2 linked regions of the Ovis aries genome follow. The protein of the gene in region 1 binds, or shares a complex with, the protein of each later gene. Links are inferred from orthologs where the notes say so. Each region holds a gene or a part of one and is shown on either strand. Other genes may lie near its edges.

What was found. The genes of interacting proteins can lie anywhere in the genome.
Region 2: CAPZB (region 1) and CAPZA3 share a complex: the UniProt entries of both Homo sapiens proteins name them as parts of the WASH complex. The link is inferred for Ovis aries from reciprocal best matches to the Homo sapiens genes CAPZB and CAPZA3.

Annotation. Positions count from the first base shown.
Region 1 is NC_056055.1:247,014,160-247,017,670, reverse strand, and holds part of CAPZB (F-actin-capping protein subunit beta), read right to left. Parts: intron 3,479-3,511; coding exon 3,337-3,478; intron 3,011-3,336; coding exon 2,894-3,010; intron 1-2,893. UniProt on the Homo sapiens protein: F-actin-capping proteins bind in a Ca(2+)-independent manner to the fast growing ends of actin filaments (barbed end) thereby blocking the exchange of subunits at these ends.
Region 2 is NC_056056.1:196,880,668-196,884,780, forward strand, and holds CAPZA3 (F-actin-capping protein subunit alpha-3), read right to left. Parts: upstream 2,808-4,113; 5' UTR 1,352-2,807; coding exon 452-1,351; downstream 1-451. Other genes in the region: PLCZ1 (1-phosphatidylinositol 4,5-bisphosphate phosphodiesterase zeta-1), read left to right, coding at 3,305-3,415. UniProt on the Homo sapiens protein: F-actin-capping proteins bind in a Ca(2+)-independent manner to the fast growing ends of actin filaments (barbed end) thereby blocking the exchange of subunits at these ends.

The DNA.
Region 1 (3,511 bases):
ACGACTGGGTTTCTGTGAACACGGTGAGTTTTGGAAACCACTTCAGGATGGGGCCTGGTCACCAGGGGCACCAATCACAAATGGAGGGGTGGGACTTTAGTCCCTCTCCTGGTTTCCAGGCAGTCGGGGGAGAAGGGCTGGAGGTCAAATCAATCACCCGTGAGTTAATCACGCCTTTGTCAGGGAGTCTCTGTGTGTGTGTGAGCTGCTCAGTCGTATCAGACTCTTTGTGACGCCATGGACTGCAGCCCTCAGGCTCCTCTGTCCGTGGAAGTCTCCTGGCAAGAATACTGGCGTGGATTGTCATTTCCTTCTCTAGGATCTTCCCGACCCAGGGATCAAACCCTGGTCTCCCGCATTGCAGGCAGATTCTTTACCGTCTGAGTCACCAGGGAAGCCCAAGGAAGTCTCCGTGAAACCCCACAAAAGATGGGAATCAGAGAGCTTCCAGGCTGAGAAACCAACTGACTTCCAGGTGCCACCATGCAGGGCCCCAAAACTCCATCAGGACAGCAGGCCTTGCTTCAGACCTCACCGTGTGGATCTCTTCATCTGGCTGTTGATCTGAAATGTTTAAGAGTCTGCTGCAATAAACCTGCAGGCTAATCAGTAAACGGGTTTTTCTGGGTTCGGTGAGCAGCTCTAATAAATTAATGGACCCCAAGGAAGGGTCGTGGGAACCTCTGATGTGTAGCCAGTAGCTCAGAAGCGCAGGTGTGTCTCGGGGGGGCGGGCAGGCTGCCGTTTGGGACTGAGCCCAGGATGCGCAGCCTGGCACTGTCTCCAGGTAGAGTGATGTGCAGGACACTCTCCTGGGGTCGCACAATGGTTGTTGGTGGCATGGGGCGTCACCCCCACCCCTGCCAAGATGGCACTGGGTGTGGAACCCAGAAAAGTAGCGTCTGTCAAATGTTAATGGGCACGTAAATTACTTGGAGACTTTTATGAAATGGGGGTCTCAATTTGGTAGGTCAGGGCGGGGCCCTCGCTCTCTGGATCTGTGACCAGCTCTGCGGTCCACGGCGCTGATGCAGGGCCCTCCTACACTGGACTGCGGGCAGAAAGGTGCCACCGAGCTGCAGAGGACGAGCCTCTGGGCGAGCCTGCCTGCCCCGCCAGGCTTGCAGGGCCACAGCGACAGGGAACAGAGCAGAGCAAGGCTTCTCGCAACATCCAAGGAGCCTGAGGTGCAGGGACGCGCTGAGTCCTGAGGATGAGGAGGGTGAGGCCAAGCCTGCAGCCACCTGGTCCCAGCACGGCCGGGAGCCGGCTGGGAAACGGCAGGCGGCATTCAGCCACAGGTAGCTCAAACAGCATCTGTGTGGAAATGTGAAGTCTGCTTAGGTGGTGAATGAGAACCGAACCAGCTCACCCTAAAGACCAGCGCCCCACAACTTCCTCTACGGAAGTCTCTGACAGCCATCCCAGAGAGCTCTGAGCTTGGCTGCGAATGACTACGAAGACAGACTCATTCATCTGAGTTAATGTGTGGGAACAAAGCCGGAAGGAACAACGAACCCAGGGATGATGGGAACCGAGACACAACCTATCTGTCATGGGCAGAAGGGACAGAGTCCAGAACGCGGGTCCACAGGGAAAACCTTGTTTCAAGCAAGATCAACCACACAGAAACAGAACGGGAAATCCCTGGACCGTCAATAGTTCACGGGAAAGAGGCGGGAGCAGGGGCGCCAGCCCAGCCAACCGCACGCCTGCGGGGCGCCCGCCAAGCAGGAGGGGACCCACCCTGGAGAGCAGGTTCTCTCCTGATGCCACTTCCTGCAGAGGCTGACATGAAGGAAGTGGGCTACCCCCAGGGCCGCGCGCCCCGGGGTGCCACCAAGGAGGGCGGCACAGGGTGTCCTGTCGGGTTGGGAGATGCCCTCTGAACTCCTCTAACGTGCAGACGCTGTGCCTCACACAGGCTGTGGACTGCTTTAGCCAGACACGCTCGTTTTTTTTCAGAATGAGATGAACAGACACTCTGAGGTCTGGAGAGTGCCCTGCTTGGGCTTGGAGTGGACGATGCTGCTGACTGTCATTCCCTTGTGACCCCGTGTCCCTGGGGCACTGCTGCGGGTGGGGGGGCCGGAGCGGAGCAGAGAGGAGATGTGACCACGAGGCAGCTGCGGGGGGAGGCTGGTAACTGGTTCGGAGACTGAAGCAGGCTCTCCTCCTCCTTCTGAAGCCCTGCAGCTTCCAGCTCAGCAGCTTCTCTCCTTCTGGGGACTCTGACGGCCACCCCCCAGAGGCCTGGTGCTCAGACCGCCTGGCCGCCAGCACTGCTCACGCTGCCCACACCGACCCCCCGCAAAACTATGAAAAGCTGCCCGGTTTCACTTCAGGAAACTGACTCCCCCTGTTCGTCTAACTCCACCCATGGGTAGTCACGTGACCCCGGCCCCTGGAAGTGATTCTGTTCTGGACAAGCAGCCCGAGCCAGCAGGGAGACGCTCTCCCCCAGGATGGCCAGAGGCCGCCAGGCGCCCCCATGCAGAGATTCGGGGTCCCGCCCACATCACGTGTGTCTTAGACCCCGCTGGGCTGGACGACGACGGGACTGCACAAGTACGTGAGCTGACTTGTTCCCGTTTTTGCTTAAGCTGGTTTTTACTTCTGCCACCTGCGGGCAGAAGTCACAATTAAGAAATGAATCCATTCGAAAATGTAACCATCAGCATGTCCCAAATATCACAGGAGCATCTTACCACAAATACCTTGACCCAAGGGGAAAAAAATCTCCCGTGACTGAGTCTCAGCAATCACCCACAGGCCTGCGGGGGGACCCCATTAGTCACAGAGGCCGCCCCTGGACCCTGTGGGGGCGGCTGCCCACGCATCTCCACACACAGCCAGCGCTGGGGCTGGCCCGGGCACTGCCCACTCACTCTACCTGTCTGGTAAGGCTGCCTCCGAGGTTCATGGTGCCAGAGCCGGATTTGTTGGTTTGCAGCCACAGCATCACCGTGGAGGTCAGCTTGTAGTGGGCGGTGCGACCACTGGACTTCTCCTGCAGGACGAGACAGAGATCAGAACCTCGCGTGTGGCCCTGAGCTGAGCCCCAAGGGGCCCCTGAATTCAGGTCATTAGAGCCTTCCCTTCCTAAGGCCTCACCGTGATGTGACCTTCTAAAGACCCCAAACGGCTTTTAAATTTAGGGCTGAATCTGCAATCGTGTACCCCAGTCCCCCTGGGATCTTTTTCATCCGCGACGACTGCACTCCCGCCTTGCCTCTGTCCACGTGGCCGTAGGCACTTGCAGGAAGCAGCAGGTTCACACATCACAGCACCCCCTCTTCACTCAGCACCCCCAGGGCAGCCGCGGGGGAGCCTCACCTGCACTTCCACCACGTGGATGGAGTCCCAGCAGCCCTTGATCTTCTTTGAGCCATCCCCAGCCTTCTTTATGAGGATCACTCCAGCAAAACCATGATCCAGGTCCCAGAGGTAGACAGATGAGACACCACCTTCAAAATACCTGCAGGAAACAGGCCCACATCTTGTTAAATGT
Region 2 (4,113 bases), on another chromosome or scaffold:
TTAATACTTCTGGGATGCCACATTCTACAAAGTCATTTTAGTTTCTAATAAATGTTTCTGGCTTTATGATTGTCACTACCATGAAACACATTACCATCACCCTTTCCTTGAGTTACTGGTAAATATTCCTTGAATAAAATGATTTGGAAGACTTGTCCCTAATTTAAACTTTCATCTGAAATTCCTTGGCAGTCCAGTGGTCAGGACTCTGCTTTCAACTGCTGAAGGCTCGGGTTCAGTCCTAGGCTGGGGAAACAAGTTCCTACAGACTGTGTGATGTGCCCCCGCTAAAAAAAGTAAAACCAAAAATCGCCCCCAAATTTACATCTGCCAAGTGATGGACATATCTGGTGGCTTCTCAACTTTAGGAGAATAACCTCAGTGCCTCCCCCACCCCCCATCCCCGGAAACACAACTGAATCAGATCAAGACAGTTACCAGGAGCAATCCTTTATATTATCCAGTTGCATAGCACACTCCTTGAATAAATGACATACCCTAATTTAGGATACATCACCAGATTCAAGTCAGAGAGTATCCTCTGCCAGTCAATATGAGTACGGGTCACTGGAAGATCTCTTCGTAGAATTCTTCTCAGAGCTTCATTCGATAACTCCTGTAGTTCTTCCAACACTGCAGCTTGAAATTTATTCTCTTGCTCTTCCACAAGCCTTGCGAAACTTAGGGCCAGCTGAGCTTGGTTCACTACCTCCAAGCTTTCTTTCAGGTCCTTCGAGATTTCGACATGTAGGTTGACACACCTGAAGTAGTGAGCTTGCACAAAAATTCTCCCTGTTACCTGGGTTAGAAATGGATTGACTTGGAAAATCCATTTTGATTTCCAAAGCCCATTCCAGTAGTCTGTTGTTTCATAGCTGTGGTCTTCGATGCAGGCGATCAAGAACTCCTTATTTTTCACTGTTTTTCTCAGCACGTTGCAGTTTCCCTTTGGGTAGTGGTCGTTCACATAGAGCTTCAAGGCGCACAGAACTACAGCCCTCAGGTACTCCGTCTCATTCCAAATGATTCCATGACTCTGGATGTCCTTTAACTGGTTTTGAAGCAGATCAAATTTGAAAGAAAGTTTGCTCTGGTAGTCGAAAAACCTGTAGTCGCCCACAACATTGTGGTGAGACAGGAGGACAGCATTCCCATCGATGCTGAGTGGGACAGAATATTTTTGGCAGTGTTGGTGGCCCGCACACTCCCCTTGATGGTGCATGAGTTTTTCATCACGGATAAGCAGACAGAGATCATCAAAGGCATTTACAAATTCCCCTGGAGGAGCCTGTATCAGTAGTCTGCGAATTACTTTTTCTTTCTCTTTCCTACTCAGAGTGCTACGTGACATGTTTGGTTGTGGCAGAAGCAGAGCTTCTGGAATGAACAGTGTTCAGAGGATGAGAGAACATTCCATGGGGCGCCTTTCCCATCCAGGTGTTAAACATTCAAGCTTAAGATTACCATGTCTGACCATGCCAAAAACAGGTTGTCTGGCCAGCTCTGAGTCTCCTGATGAAGTCATAGAGGAGCTTGCTCTGTGAAGTATGGAACTTTTGATGAGATCACAATGGGTGTTTGGACCCAAAGGAAAACATGACAGTCACCTGACAGCGTGGTGCCCAGCCAACCAGCGATACGAATTTTGAAGATTTTTTAAGAACTTAGCCTCCAGAACAGCCTTCTTCATAAAGTGGTGTGTTTATTCCATAGGTGGTCGTAGATCTATGATAAGCAACCCAGAGTTTCTAGGGAGTATTTGGAAGCTCTTTGACCCTTTGGGGACCACAATGGCAGTGATTTGCAATCAGGCCGTCAGAATAACTGTCCAAACCCAGTGGAAGCATGTTATCCTGAAAGGTTTGAGGGGTTTAAACAAAATAGTAAAAATAAAATGAGAGACGATGGCTGTTCATGGGAAAATGCCAGACGGCAAGGGTTGCCTCTCTTATAAACATTGTGGGTTTGGAAATGGTCAGAACATAAGCAAGAAGCCAGAAAAATTTTAAGGGCAGTGAAGTACAGAGACCACAAACCTCCATACAGTCTCTGGGGGATTTAAGTGTTGCGCTAACTGCAAAGAACAAAGGCAACAAACCACTGTGTTTTCTGCTTTCTTTCTAGAAAAGGGGCAGTGGTAACAGCGGATGAGTTTCAAGGAATCCCTTTCTTGCCAATGGGCGGAGTTAATTATATTTGGAACCTGTGACAACTCATAATGGGGAGAAGCTTCTAAGTGAGGAGAAACGAAACTTCAGGTCATGAAAATATGGAGAACAAATATCCACTCAGAAGTCCTTTCTGTTCCTCTTTCCTTTCTCTTGACTTATCCCCCTTTGAAGACTCCTGAGCTTGTTTCTCCCATTTGAGTGTAAACTGCTTCCTCCTTTTTGCATCCTGAGTTTTTTTTTTTTTTTAATTTCCCTAGCTTCCTGTATCTTTTTCTTGTAACATGAGCTTTGCCATATTAAGTCACAGCCATTAAATTGAAGGGCTTCCCATTAGTTCTAACAATTTGAAATTGAGTGTATTGTTGAACAATTTTTACCGGTACTTTTCATGATTTTATAGACTGTCATATTAATCCTTCTCAATCTTATTTTTTTTCAATTTGAAGTGTCCTAAATTTTGTTGTTTCTCTGTAGATGAAGCAAGCTTGATTATTTTTGTTTTCTCCTTCATACTAATTAGACACTCACCATGGCATTAGAAAAAAAAAACAACAACAAAAAAACCCCCTCTTTCTGATGGTCCTTAAAATGTTGCTTTTGGAGGCATGTGAGTAGCTGGACATTTGGCTAGTATAATGGTAATAATCATATCAGACATGGTTATTATTTATTGAAATCTCAGTAACAGAAACTATGTTGAATGATATATTATGAGCTCATTTAATGCCCCTACCTTCCTAAAGTATTAATTTGACCACTTTTCAGATGAGGAAACTAATCTTGAGAGAGATCATGTGATAGAAAGATCTTGGTGTTCATGTCTTCAGAAAATAGATTGTATTTCCCAAGTAATAGCTATATTTCTCAAATGTTAATTTTTATTCTCTTCCTATAATTCTTATTTTATTAAGTCCTTTCATACCTTTAGCACTAAATAGTACCTACTTAATTTTGTTTTAAATATTATTTATCATAAAATTATTTTCTCACTTAGGCATGAGATAGACTATCTTCTGAAAAGAAAAACATTGAAGAGAGACAAAATATTCTTAGTCATTTTAAGTACTTAATGACTTTCTGTGAGAATTTCCTTAACTTCTTTTTTTGGTGTGTCTCCTACATGGTTTTTGTTGATGGTTCGAGATGACTTCAAAGGTGGAAAAATTACCCTAGAAAAAGCTCTGAAACTACTTGAAAAATTAGGTATTCAGTGCAATACTATTCATGTGAAATATATTTTTAAGGTGAGATAATATCCGTCCCCTGCATATCCCACCCTAGGAAGGACTTCATCCAATATAAGGAAATGTGGATAGCTACTTGTATGTTTTCTGCAGAAAATACATGTGAAAGATTAGTCTCTTAGAAATTAAAGCAATTAATTATGTTAGATATATTCATAATCAAAATGGAAAGCATTTAGGTAAGAGGAAATTTTATCAAGAGTTGTTGATAAAATTTGAAATAATACCAAGTTATCTGCTTAGAACAATCTGCTGAGAATGCATAGATGTTCACAACAGATTAAGATTTGTCATCTGATTAGTTCAAATCATATAAATGATGAAATGGTAACTGAATTAGATGTTAGTGATTTATAGAAGGCATGGGCAATCTTGAGAAAAATCATATTTTACTCATCTTCAAGGAATTATACCGTAAGTTCCCCTGAAGAAGGGAAAGGCTACCAACTCTAGTATTTTGGCCTGGAGACTCCACTATATAGTCCATGGGGTTGCAAAGAGTCAGACATAACTGAGTGACTTTTCACTTCCCTTTGTTTTAAGAAGAATTAGTAGGAAGGGAACCTGGCTCAATTCTGTCACTAGAGGATGAATGGAAAGATCATGAAAAAAAGAAAAAGCTGTGTGTTAGAGCTGAGTTTTTTTTTTTTTTAACTAGGAAGATGGCAAATTTCTTGGTGAATCAGGCAAGAATACTA